3 linked regions of the Caenorhabditis elegans genome follow. The protein of the gene in region 1 interacts with the protein of each later gene in a pairwise test. Each region holds a gene or a part of one and is shown on either strand. Other genes may lie near its edges.

Region 1 (3,755 bases):
CCGAAAAATTTGCGAAAAAACAATAAAAACCAACAAAAAATCGCAAAATTGGGTTACGGTCGGTTTAAAGGCGCATAACTCGAATAATTTTAGGAAAATTGTGAATTTTCGGGATTTTTTTACTTTTTACCGTTAAAAGTCAAGAAAAAACAATAAAAATCGGCGATTTTTTGCAAAAAGAAAAGAGTTACTGTAGGTTTAAAGGCGCATAACTCGAAAAATTTGAGAAAAAGCGATTTTTTTTTGTTTTTTTTTCTTCGCATTTTCTTATTAATTTTTAATATTATTACTATTCCAACCTTATTATACATTTGCACAAAAATTATTCCAAAACCTCTAAAATTGGTAAAAACGGCAAAAAAAAGGTATAAGCAAGAGGCGAAAAAGGCGGGAAGAATGAAGGATTAGCCGAGGCCTTTGGGCAGGAGACACCCCCCAACGAGATAGCACACAAACATAAGAGACCGCAGACGGCCCAATCAATTCGGGCCCGAGACAGCCTCCCCGCCTCACGCGGCCTTCCTAGAGACAATGGGGAAGCCGGAGGGTGTTAGACGGGTAGACGGGCTGAGTGTGTGGGGGGGGGGGGGTACATAGTTGTTGTCTTCATGGCCTCGAGAGGAGTGTCACACATCTGCCTCGATAGCTCAGTTGGGAGAGCGCACGACTGAAGATCGTGAGGTCACCAGTTCGATCCTGGTTCGGGGCAATTCTTTTTTGTTTTTTTTTAAAATTAAAATTCAACTATACGCCTTTAAACATACCGTATTCCTGTATTCCTTTAATATTTGGCAAAAGTCGTTTTTCTCAAATTCTACTGGAAAAGCCAATCAAGCGGGCTGAAATAAACATTTTGCAACATTTTTTGCCAGCTATGCGCCTTCAAACCTACCGTAACCTTTTATTTTTGCAAAAAAATCAATTTTTCTTGTTTTGGCTCATTTTTACAGTTTTGTTCTGGATTTTTCACATGAAAAACGATAAATATCAGTGCAAAAAGCATGTTTCTACATTTTAGCCCAAAAAATTGTGCAATGCGCCTTTAAAGCTACCGTAACCTTTCAGTATTTACGAAAAATTGTTTTTTCCTTGTTTTGTGCTTAATTTTCCGGTGTTTCCCTTATATTTCACATGAAAACGTTGAAATGTTTTTCTCAACAACTTTCTCAACTTTTTGCCCAAAAATTTGTGTGATGCGCCTTTAAATCTACTGTAACCTTTTAAATTTTCGAAAAATCGATTTTTTTTCTGTTTTTGGGTTAATTTTTCTGTTTTTTCTTGATTTTTCACTGAAAATTGACAAAAAATTGAAGAAACATACAGAAAAACTAAATTTTTTGCTTTTTAACGCAAAAATTTGTGTGATGCGCCTTTAAACCTACCGTAACCTTTTAATTTAAAAAAAAAATCAATTTTTCTCAGTTTTTGGAGCAAATTTTTTGGTTTTTCCCAGATTTTTCACATGAAAAACTCTAAACCGTAGGGCAAAATCATGTTTCTCCATTTTTAGCCCAAAAAATTGTGCAATGCGCCTTTAAACCTACCGTAACCATTAAATTTTTCGGAAAATCGTTTTTTCTCTGCTGTTGGCTCAATTTTTTGGTTTTCTTTCGTTTTTTCGCAAAAAATGAACAAAAATTTCTAAAAATTGGTTGAAAATGCCAGAAAAACCTGATTTCTCAATTTTTGGCTATATGCGCCTTTAAAGCTTCCGTAACCCAATTTTAAATCGATTTTTTCGCTGAAACATTCGAAATTTCTGTTCAATATTGCCATTTTAGGCTTCTAAACAATAAATTTGTCAAAATGTGAGAGAGCTGGCTCCCCGAGAGACGCAGAGAAACGGAGACGGTCACCATGGTGACAGCTGCCTCAGTTGCACGGCCATTTTGGGATTTTTGAGCCAAAATTTTAGAATTTTGATGTATACTGTAGTTTGTAGTTTGTAGTTTGTAGTTTTTGTAGTTATGATAATATAACATGCTCAATATTTTGATTTTGGAAAAAAGTCCCGAAAAGTTTTGGAAATTTTTTTTTGCACAAAAAATTTCGTGTTTTTTTCGAAATTTTTTTTTTGAAAATTGTTTATTTTTTAACGTCAAATTATGTTTTTTAACAGGAAATGCTCCCAAAAAACGAAAAAGAAGCATTAGTCGATGTTGATGATAGGATTGCAATGTTGGAGAGGCGGCTGGACAACGCGAAGGCCGCGAGGGTAAGGACTAAAACTCTTATATCTTGAAAACCAATAGTGCTATCAAAAAGTTGCTAACTAACATAATGATCAGTATCAAATTTCCTATATTTTGTTAGTTGACAATATAATTGTATGACTAACCCGAAAAAAATTGCAATAGGAAACGTCTACGGTGTCAAAACCGTCAGGTGGCTTCTAAAGGCTGTAACTCTTTAGAGGCTAGAGCAATTTTTGCCGACTATTAAAATGATCTACACAAAATTTGCAATATATCAATAGTTAACAGCTTTTCAATATCTTTCCTAGAATCTGAGTTATGACACTTTTTAGTTTCTCTCTCTCAAATTCCAGCGCAGTACCTCAAATTTTGAGGCACAAAAAACCAGCTGTATCTCAAAAACTAGTAAAGCTACTCAAAAGTTTTCAACTAAGAAAATGTTAAGCATAAAATTTACTACAGTTTCCTAGTTAATAATTTTTTTGTATGACTAACCAGAAAAAAGTTACAAGAGAGTATCTCCACAGGGGTAAAAGCGTCGTGTGTCTTTTAGCGTTCATAACTTTTTTGCCATCATAGTTATAAAAATTTTGTCAATTGACAAAATGATCTACGCAAAATTTGCTATATGATAGTACTTTCAAATTTTCAAAAATCTTCCCTAGTTTTTGAGATACACAAGTTTTTGGAAAAATCATGCTTCTCCTTAAAAGAGTCTTTATTTTAGGATGCTTTTGTGCACCATCTACGTGGAAAATACCCGACATGGAAGCCCCCATTGCCCACAATGAGCTATCAAGAGGTTTTTATTTAAAATTTTGAAAAAAAAATTTTAATAAAAAAAAAATTGTTTTTTTCAAAATTTTTTTTTTCAGGCAGATTTTCCAAAACTCCCACACTATGCTTCAAATCACCACCGTGAGCCGTTGCTTTCCCGCTTATCAACTAGTGATTATCAATGGGATATAACTAATAATCGGAACAATCGCAGTCGGAGCATGACCCGGCTCAGCTCGAAATTTCAGCCAATGGATATTCCGACGAGGTTTTTAATATGATTTTTGGCTTAAACTGACCTAGAAAAAGATATTGACCACGGTGGGGGTTGAACCTGTGGCCTATTGACTGATAGGCAAACGTGTACCCACCTGAGCTAAAAACTCCATAGGGTTGAAAAAATCACAATTTTCAATTTTTTTTTCCAAAAAAAAAAAAAAAACTTTAAACCTTTATAACTTTGCAATGGTAACTGCTATCAAAAAGCTATAAACTAAAAAAATATAGCAAATTTTCTGCTCTACAATTTACCAGTGACCAGTTTTTACCTATCACTTCCAGTTCCCAAGTTACACCCAATTTTCCAGCGGTCCTCTCCTGGAAAGCGACATCCGTCGCTCGAAAATCCGTCTCCGTGAGATTTCCGAAGAGCTCCGAGCTATGAGAATTGATCGTATGAGCTTGAGCACAGATCAATGGCTCCAGGAACAACCGTTTCGGCAGCATAAATGTAAGTTTTTGAGGAGAAAAATTGAAAAGAAAATTGGTTAAAAAAATTTTTGT
Region 2 (3,755 bases), on another chromosome or scaffold:
AAAGGACAAACTTTTGGAATATCTAAATTAACAATTGCGTCACTGCTCATTTCAATGTTTTCTCTTGTTTTCAGCTTATCGAAAGCATTCAAATCCGTTGGTCCCATGATGATTTTTGGATTTGAAGCAGCTGGGTAAATTCCGATTCCGAGAATAACACAAATCGACTCCGCAATTGCCCAGGCACTGAAATTTGTTAATACTATTACAAAAAGTAGTGAAATAACTAACCTGTATACTCTTGTTTTAAACACAACAAAAATTAGAGCAGCGTAGACGAGTCGAGTAAAGAATGAGACCTCCCAGATTGCATCCGATCGAAGTATCTGAATGGGCAAGTTTAAAAATGAAAAGCATTGTTGGGAAACGCACATCAAGTGGGAAATAGTGGTTCGTGATCACAAAAACTGGAACCGACCAGAGGAGACGAACAAATCTAGACTTCACTTCCAGTGTGGGATCCCATGATTTTAGAATTGGGTTTTGAGAATCAATAAGCATTTGATATGTGTAGTATGGTCCTGAAAACAATTAATAATAATTGCATATTGTTCCCAAATGTCTATTTAGAAATTTACTATGCAGAGTTTATTTGAGCAGCTGCTGAAATACACATTTCTGGTCAACTCAAACTAACCCGTGAAAAGTCCGCAAAAATGATAAAAGTAGGCAAACTTCTCCAAAATAGTAGGAAGCTCTGTTAAGTATCTTTTCGTCGGATTCTCATCGCTTTTGTGAACCCACGCGTCATTTTCTTCAAAGGTGATGCCAATTATCTGAAATAGTTTCAAAAAATAAATATTCCAGTAAAACACTTATTTTGGAAAATAATTTCAATCGTTGTAAGACCCATCGAGGAATGAGTCACTATTTAAACTCACTACCTAGTATAGAAATTTAGTGCAGTTGTTTCACAAACAATATATATGCTTTTTCTTTACTGTTTTTGAAGAAGGAAATATTTTCAACTATTACGAAAACAAACTCTCCGTAATGAACACGTCTTTTCTGAAACAAAAAACTTACTCTTAAAGTAATAATCAGTTGAATGACATTGGTGTGGCTGGCGACTTCGTTGACAGGCAAAATGTAATGCGCAAATCGAACAAACATCAGATAAGTGAATGTTGTGAGGAAAACGTAGAGTGGTGTGCTCCTGCAAGTTTAAATTAGTTTCTACTCGTTTTTTCTTGTAATATTACTTTTTGTTAGCCAACAGTTGAATCGAAATCGCAATCGAACAAATTCCCAGTGAATATACAATTTTTGGACCTGCAACATGCCATTTTGGTTTTTATTGTCATTTTCAATTACCAATAATAAAAAGAGACATAGCAAATCCGAGTGCTCCAGATGCCAATATATTATTTCCAATTTTCCGTACATAACAAGATGCTCCAAAAGAGAAAAGCAACAATCCGGTGTATATCCAATCATCTTTGGACATCAAGCCAAGGATATTTTCCATGATATTACCTGAAACAAAAAACGAATACTTTACAAGAATAAACCGTACTGGCGAACAAAAAATTAATGGCATAAACTGTGTACGTCGATAAATGTGCCAGCTGCGTGGGGAAACGCGTCAACACGCAGCTGACGTGTTTGCGGACGCATTACTACGAACACTTGGAGTGCGCACTGCGTGATGAGATCCGAAACGGCCTTGTTTGCAACTTTTGTCCCCCGCAGAATGATACAATCACTTTTTCTAGTCTTTAGTCGTTTCTTATGTTATTAGTGTGTGATTTTAACAGTTGCCGTCATTTTTCATATATCTTTTCATTCAATTTTCTCATATTTTGCAGGTAGTAATAGTGGTTGAAAAATGTACACAGCAGAGGCGCTTGACCGTAAGTTTTATAGTATTTTTCACAACAAAAAATGGATATTTTTCAGTCATAACATCACTTGAGCAAAAGGAATGCGATGACTGCGGCAAAAAAGAAGTCGAATGGGCGTCGGTAAAAAAGGGAACCGTGATTTGCTCCGAATGTTTCTGTTTTCATAGTTATCTTGGTAAGTTTAAAAAAACTTTAAATTTCTATTAAAACTTCTGAATACTATTCAATAACACCGACTATAAAATCTATAAATTTACACAAATTCTCCGTTGTTTTCCCAAGACCCCGGTTGTATGAAAATCGATAAATAGTACACTCACAGGCCCGTCAGTGAGCTATCTCCGTCATCTGCGCAAGAGTGCTTGGGATGAGGAGCATATTCGTCTTGTTCACGCTCTTAACACGTATGTTTTAGAATAGTTTAAACATAATAATGGAATTATCTATTATTTTTTTCAGATCTAACACCAACATGATATGGGAAAGTGCTTTATATGAGGGATCAACAAAGTTTCAGAAACCAATGGCCCAGTGAGTTTTTGCTATTGAATTAAACTGTAAAACAATTTTGTAAAACAATTTTGTAGAGACCCATCTCATATCAAAGAACAATTTGTGAAGGAAAAATACGAGAAGCTGACATTCCAACCGAAAAGAGGAAAGGATGAAGATTTGGAGAATAGTTTGAATCGACAACTCATTGCATGTGCTCGCAGTGATTTTGCTCATGTCACTTTAAGGTGCTTGTGACTTCAAAAACATTATAGGGACGAAGTTCATAGCAACAACACAAACTTTTAAATTTCAGACTCATCGCTCTCGGAGCTGATGTAAACTATCCTGATCCAGAAACTGGGGACACTGCACTTCATGTTGCAGCCCGAGAAGGCAATTCAAATCAAGTAGAACTTCTTTTCCTGTATGGAGCTGACATTATGGCACCAAATAGAGAAGGAATGCTTCCATACATTCTTGCTAGAGATGCGGGGCATGTAAGTTTTCTTACTCTCAATATGCTTGTTCAGTTAAGCATTTCAGGGCCAACTTTCACATCGCATTTATGAATTCTTCTTCTACGTTTTTGATCGCTTCTCATTTTTCATGTGCAATCGAAAAGCAGATCATAAGAACAACCAGGACTTTTTCATTCCTGAAGTCACTGAAAAACAATTCCTGACAAAAACTAATGATTCGAGAGCAGCGATCTCAGTTCTCCCGAAAGGTCAATTCTTTGACCTATGTGAAGATGCGTTTGATGAAACAGTTCGCAGAGAAAATGAAGTCAACTGGAACATGACAAAATGGGCAAAAACTGCCAAAGGGCCAACAAACCTTTTCTTGCCGGTATAGTTTTATGAAACCCATTCAAGCTATAAATATTTTTATAGCCAACTCCTCAAATGTCAGCTGCTCGCAACCAAAGAAGACAGAAACTTGCCAAATTCACTCCAATTCAGTTCACAATTCTCCTGATAGACTTAATCAAAGACCAAAAGCGCAGAATCACTGGAGACAATCCAGCACCAGTATCCGAACCACCCAAGAATATGCGAAAGTCAAACGACACTCCACTTAGAATTATGAAGTTAGTGGATCTTAGACGTGTGTAATTTAATTTGATCTTACAGAAAAAGCGAATACGCCGATTATGATGAAGTAGCTGGAATATCATGCAGTCCAATTTCGGGAATTGTTCCCAACTCTCAGGCTAATACGTTAGATGAATCGAGCAGCAGAGTGTGGGACGAACTATTGGAAATGAAAGAAAGACTTTCAAGTACCGAAACTATGGTTGTAACACTTACAAAGCAAAATGAGGAGCTGACAAAGTGAGTTGATATCACAAAAAAACTTTCTTTATGCTATGTTTCCTTGCAGGCTAGTTCATAGCTTACAAGCCCAAAACATCAA
Region 3 (3,755 bases), on another chromosome or scaffold:
TTTAGACCACATTCCATTCCACTCAAAAACACAAAAATGTCTTCGTTTTTGCGTCCGCGTTTTATCGGTTAAAAACGATAAGGAAACTTGAGCTCTACTAGGAATTGGAGTACGCTGTTTTATCAGTTCCAACCAAGCCTGCCACACATCTGTAAACAAATGTTAGAGAATATGCGAAATGAAGAACACGATAAATGAAGTTTGAATGAAAGTACAAAGACTAGTCGTGAGGACTGAGCAAGATGTATGGAGTTGTAGAGAATACCAAAAGCAAAATTCTTTAAACATCCTGTTTTTTGGTATTCATACTTTGGCTAATTTTATAAAGTAATTGACCACAAAAATGAGAAAGAAGCATAAACGGAAGAATTGTATTAAAAAAACAAAACACTGTATTTCCAAAAATTTCAAAATTCCAATTCATGCTGATTAGCAGCTCGCGGACTTTAATATTTGAAAAAGAAGAGGTGTGGTTGATTTTTAGTTTTTTAAAGGTTAAATAATTAAAGCGATGTTTCGAATTATTTTGGAATTCCAATCATAGTTTCAATTCGATGCTTTTTCAATTTCGAAAATGCACAATTTTTAAGAACTTTTTAGCAAGGGTTTTATGACTCACAAAACTCTTTAATCAGAATAAAATGTTAACCAGAACACTTGAAAAGTTACGCTCCGCCGGTAGGTAGGTCTTCCTACCTACCTAGTTATATTCGTCTGCAATTTGGCACAAAATCTAGAGGTACAAGACAGCGCGTAGGTAACCTTCGAGTTTTTTGTGCCTACAAGGGAATTCGTTCACTGTTGCAAGATTCACCTATTTTGTTGTTATCAAATTATTGCGATGAACTTTTAAGGAATTACTGTAGCTGTTTTTTTGTGAAAAATAACACAGATGGTCTTTTTAAGATAAGACACCTCAAGTTCAGTAGACAACAAGAGTAAACAAAGTTTTTTCAGGAAATACTTGTAGCTTTTGAATTACAGTTTAAGAGAGAATTGAATTGATGAAGAGATTTTGATTGAACCTTCACATCTTCAAAATTCTAGAATTTTTAAAATTAAACATTTTTGAATATGACAATACAAGCGAAAATATTCTGTCAATTAAATCCAGATAAATTTGTAAATCCTTAAAAATTAAATTGAAAGGAATCTAGAAGACAAAATGTTTCAGTTCTGAAATATTCCATTGTTGCCGATTATGTTCTGTTGTAACCTTATTAACATTTCATTCGTCATAGTTTCTAGTAAAAAGTTTCAGACTTTGCGGTTCTTAACACCTTTTTTCAAATGTCAACTTCCTCATCATTCCCAGTCAAATGTCATTTTGTTTCATAAATACAAAGAATGTAAGAAAGAGTAGTTTCTTTTTTTCTTCTTTTCACCCCCTCCCCTCCGTTTTCCATCTCTAAACTCGGACTGATAAGTCACCATAAAAGAGAGTGGAATCGAGCATTGCCAACTGATAACCCTCTTTCTTTGCTCTCTCAAAATGCCATTGTAAAATCAAACCTACTACTCCGCGTTTTGTACGGTTTGGTGTTAAGACTCTTTATTTTTTTGAAGATTGAACGTTTATTATTGGTGTTGGTTTTTTAACTGCTGAAAGTGTGAAAATAACATTGTTTTCTTATTCTATTTATTTTTATCTTCTTTTGTTATTAACATCTTTTGTTTTATTTTCAAAATTTTAGCGACTTCATCATGTCGGCGGTTAGTTATTCGATGCACAGAACCACCACAACTACATCCTCCTCATCACACGGAGGTAAGCACTTTTCTTCAAATTTCCAACAGTCACACGACCTCGAGAGTTTTCTCCGAGGAATCCATAATATGGTGACACTAGTTTGTCTGAAATTGATCTCCTCCATTGTCTCAATCTTTTTCTTTGTTTCAAATCTCTTTGTCGGCTTTATTGACACCGTTGTGAACTCCTTTCACACATTGCCGACTAATCCTAGCAGTTTCTCTAGATTATGGGCTTAAGTTAAAATAACTGATGTTTAAATAAAACCATAAGTTTCGACAAATTAAACTCGATCTTAACTTTTAATTCACGATATCAATAAAGAATTGAGACGAGAACTGCAGCGTAGGGACAAACTGCAAAATGGCCTGTTCCTAGATGGTAGCATATAATACTTTTCAGTGAAAAATCAGATTGTTTATGACAAGATAGATCACTCTTATAAGTAGGAATTTTCTGATTGCTAGCCCAAATTGTGAAAAAAAAAGAATAAATATGCCACATTTAACCAATTTACTCTGCTCCTGCTTTGCATTACTTTGACAAATCATATCTCGATTGTTATTATTTCATCAAATAATTTTCAACACTAAAATCACTCTACATTGTTATAATTAAACAATTTTGATGAAGCCTACAACAATTAATATGAGCTGTCAAAATGAAGCAGTGGGAGTGCAAGACTAATAGGAAAAACGGTATATAACACGGAAAATTGTATATCTTAAATCTCAAAGTACAACATTAGCTGTAACTAACTCTATTTTTTAAAATTTCTATTTTAATATTGTGAAAAAATTTGGAAAACAGAGGTTTATTCAGACTTTTGTTTTACATATTCGTACTAAATTAATTTTTAAAAAATGAGTTTGTATTGCTTTTTCCAAACCCTTCACAATAAGACACTTTCACAAAATTTAGTTTATAACAATAAAAAATATGGTCCTTCTTGGAGCACTGCTTAAACATCGGAACACAGTTTACATAATATTTCAGGTGTCTCAGCCGGCCATGCCGCTGAGGAGTTCGTTGCCTCTGCCGAGCGCGAGAAGCAAGAGATGCAGCAGTTGAACTCTCGCCTTGAAGTTTACATCAGCCGTGTCCGTCAACTTGAGGATCGTAACAAGGAGCTTGTGATTGAATTGGACACCCTCCGAGGATCACTTGGAAATGACATCGGACAGATCAAGGTTTGTGCCCCGAAATTACAGGAGAATCTGAAACACTTTTAGTTGTTGACACAATTTCTCTCTTATCAGATAATATCAATTCTTCTCAAACAAAGCGCCCGTTGCCAAATGTGCAGGCGTAAGGAATTTAAAAGAGAAACTGAAAATGGCACTGATAAGATGACAAGTAGTGCTCTGGAGGAAATGGGTGTGTATGTGTGTGTTAAGATTGCCAATAAAATTAATTGAAATTGATCTTGAGGGGTTAATAATGTTGCATCAGAATAATAAACTCAACGTTTTGTAGTTCAAATTCAACGATTCGTTGGTCAAAGTTCGCCGTGAGATCTCAGAAGCTCATTCTGGAACTATTGGAGTTGAAGTTAAGGTCGACAGATTGAGAGATGATTTGAATGACTACAGACACAGGTAACAATTTATTTGCATATTCCATTCTAATGGCAAATATTTCAGATATGAAGAGGCCCGTCGTGAAGTTGAGCGTGAGAAGACCACTTGGGGAGGAGCTATTTCACAAGCACAAGCTGAGCTTGACACAAACAAGTCCCGCTATGCCGCCATTTTGGACGAGGAAAAGAGACTTTATGCTGAACAAGATCAACTCTATCTTCAATTGGCTGCCGCCAAGGATGAGCTTGACGCCGCAATTGTTGATCGCCGCCGCCTTCAAGCTGAGGAAGATGACCTCAAGATTGAGCTGGAATTCTTGGGAAGAATCCACTCTCAAGAAATCACTGAGCTTCGCACTCTTCTTGCTCAAGCTCCAGCCGACACAAGAGAGTTCTTCAAGAATGAATTGGCTCTTGCTATCAGGT

Evidence for each region.
Region 2: the proteins of dyf-17 (region 1) and git-1 interact in a two-hybrid assay, tested with the Caenorhabditis elegans proteins (one large-scale study listed by BioGRID).
Region 3: the proteins of dyf-17 (region 1) and ifb-2 interact in a two-hybrid assay, tested with the Caenorhabditis elegans proteins (one large-scale study listed by BioGRID).

What each region holds. Positions count from the first base shown.
Region 1 is NC_003283.11:19,125,408-19,129,162, forward strand, and holds the start of dyf-17 (Verprolin), read left to right. Parts: upstream 1-2,117; 5' UTR 2,118-2,122; coding exon 2,123-2,215; intron 2,216-2,922; coding exon 2,923-2,997; intron 2,998-3,070; coding exon 3,071-3,240; intron 3,241-3,559; coding exon 3,560-3,702; intron 3,703-3,755.
Region 2 is NC_003284.9:10,523,090-10,526,844, forward strand, and holds the start of git-1 (Arf-GAP domain-containing protein), read left to right. Parts: upstream 1-1,808; 5' UTR 1,809-1,828; coding exon 1,829-1,853; intron 1,854-1,899; coding exon 1,900-2,019; intron 2,020-2,166; coding exon 2,167-2,248; intron 2,249-2,303; coding exon 2,304-2,375; intron 2,376-2,431; coding exon 2,432-2,584; intron 2,585-2,652; coding exon 2,653-2,836; intron 2,837-2,882; coding exon 2,883-3,188; intron 3,189-3,232; coding exon 3,233-3,429; intron 3,430-3,472; coding exon 3,473-3,673; intron 3,674-3,722; coding exon 3,723-3,755. Other genes in the region: Membrane-bound acylglycerophosphatidylinositol O-acyltransferase mboa-7, read right to left, coding at 12-186, 232-326, 373-521, 638-776, 1,027-1,156, 1,203-1,272, 1,315-1,468.
Region 3 is NC_003280.10:5,748,496-5,752,250, forward strand, and holds the start of ifb-2 (Intermediate filament protein ifb-2), read left to right. Parts: upstream 1-1,704; coding exon 1,705-1,768; intron 1,769-2,746; coding exon 2,747-2,940; intron 2,941-3,226; coding exon 3,227-3,348; intron 3,349-3,393; coding exon 3,394-3,753; intron 3,754-3,755. UniProt on the Caenorhabditis elegans protein: Cytoplasmic intermediate filaments provide mechanical strength to cells. Not essential protein.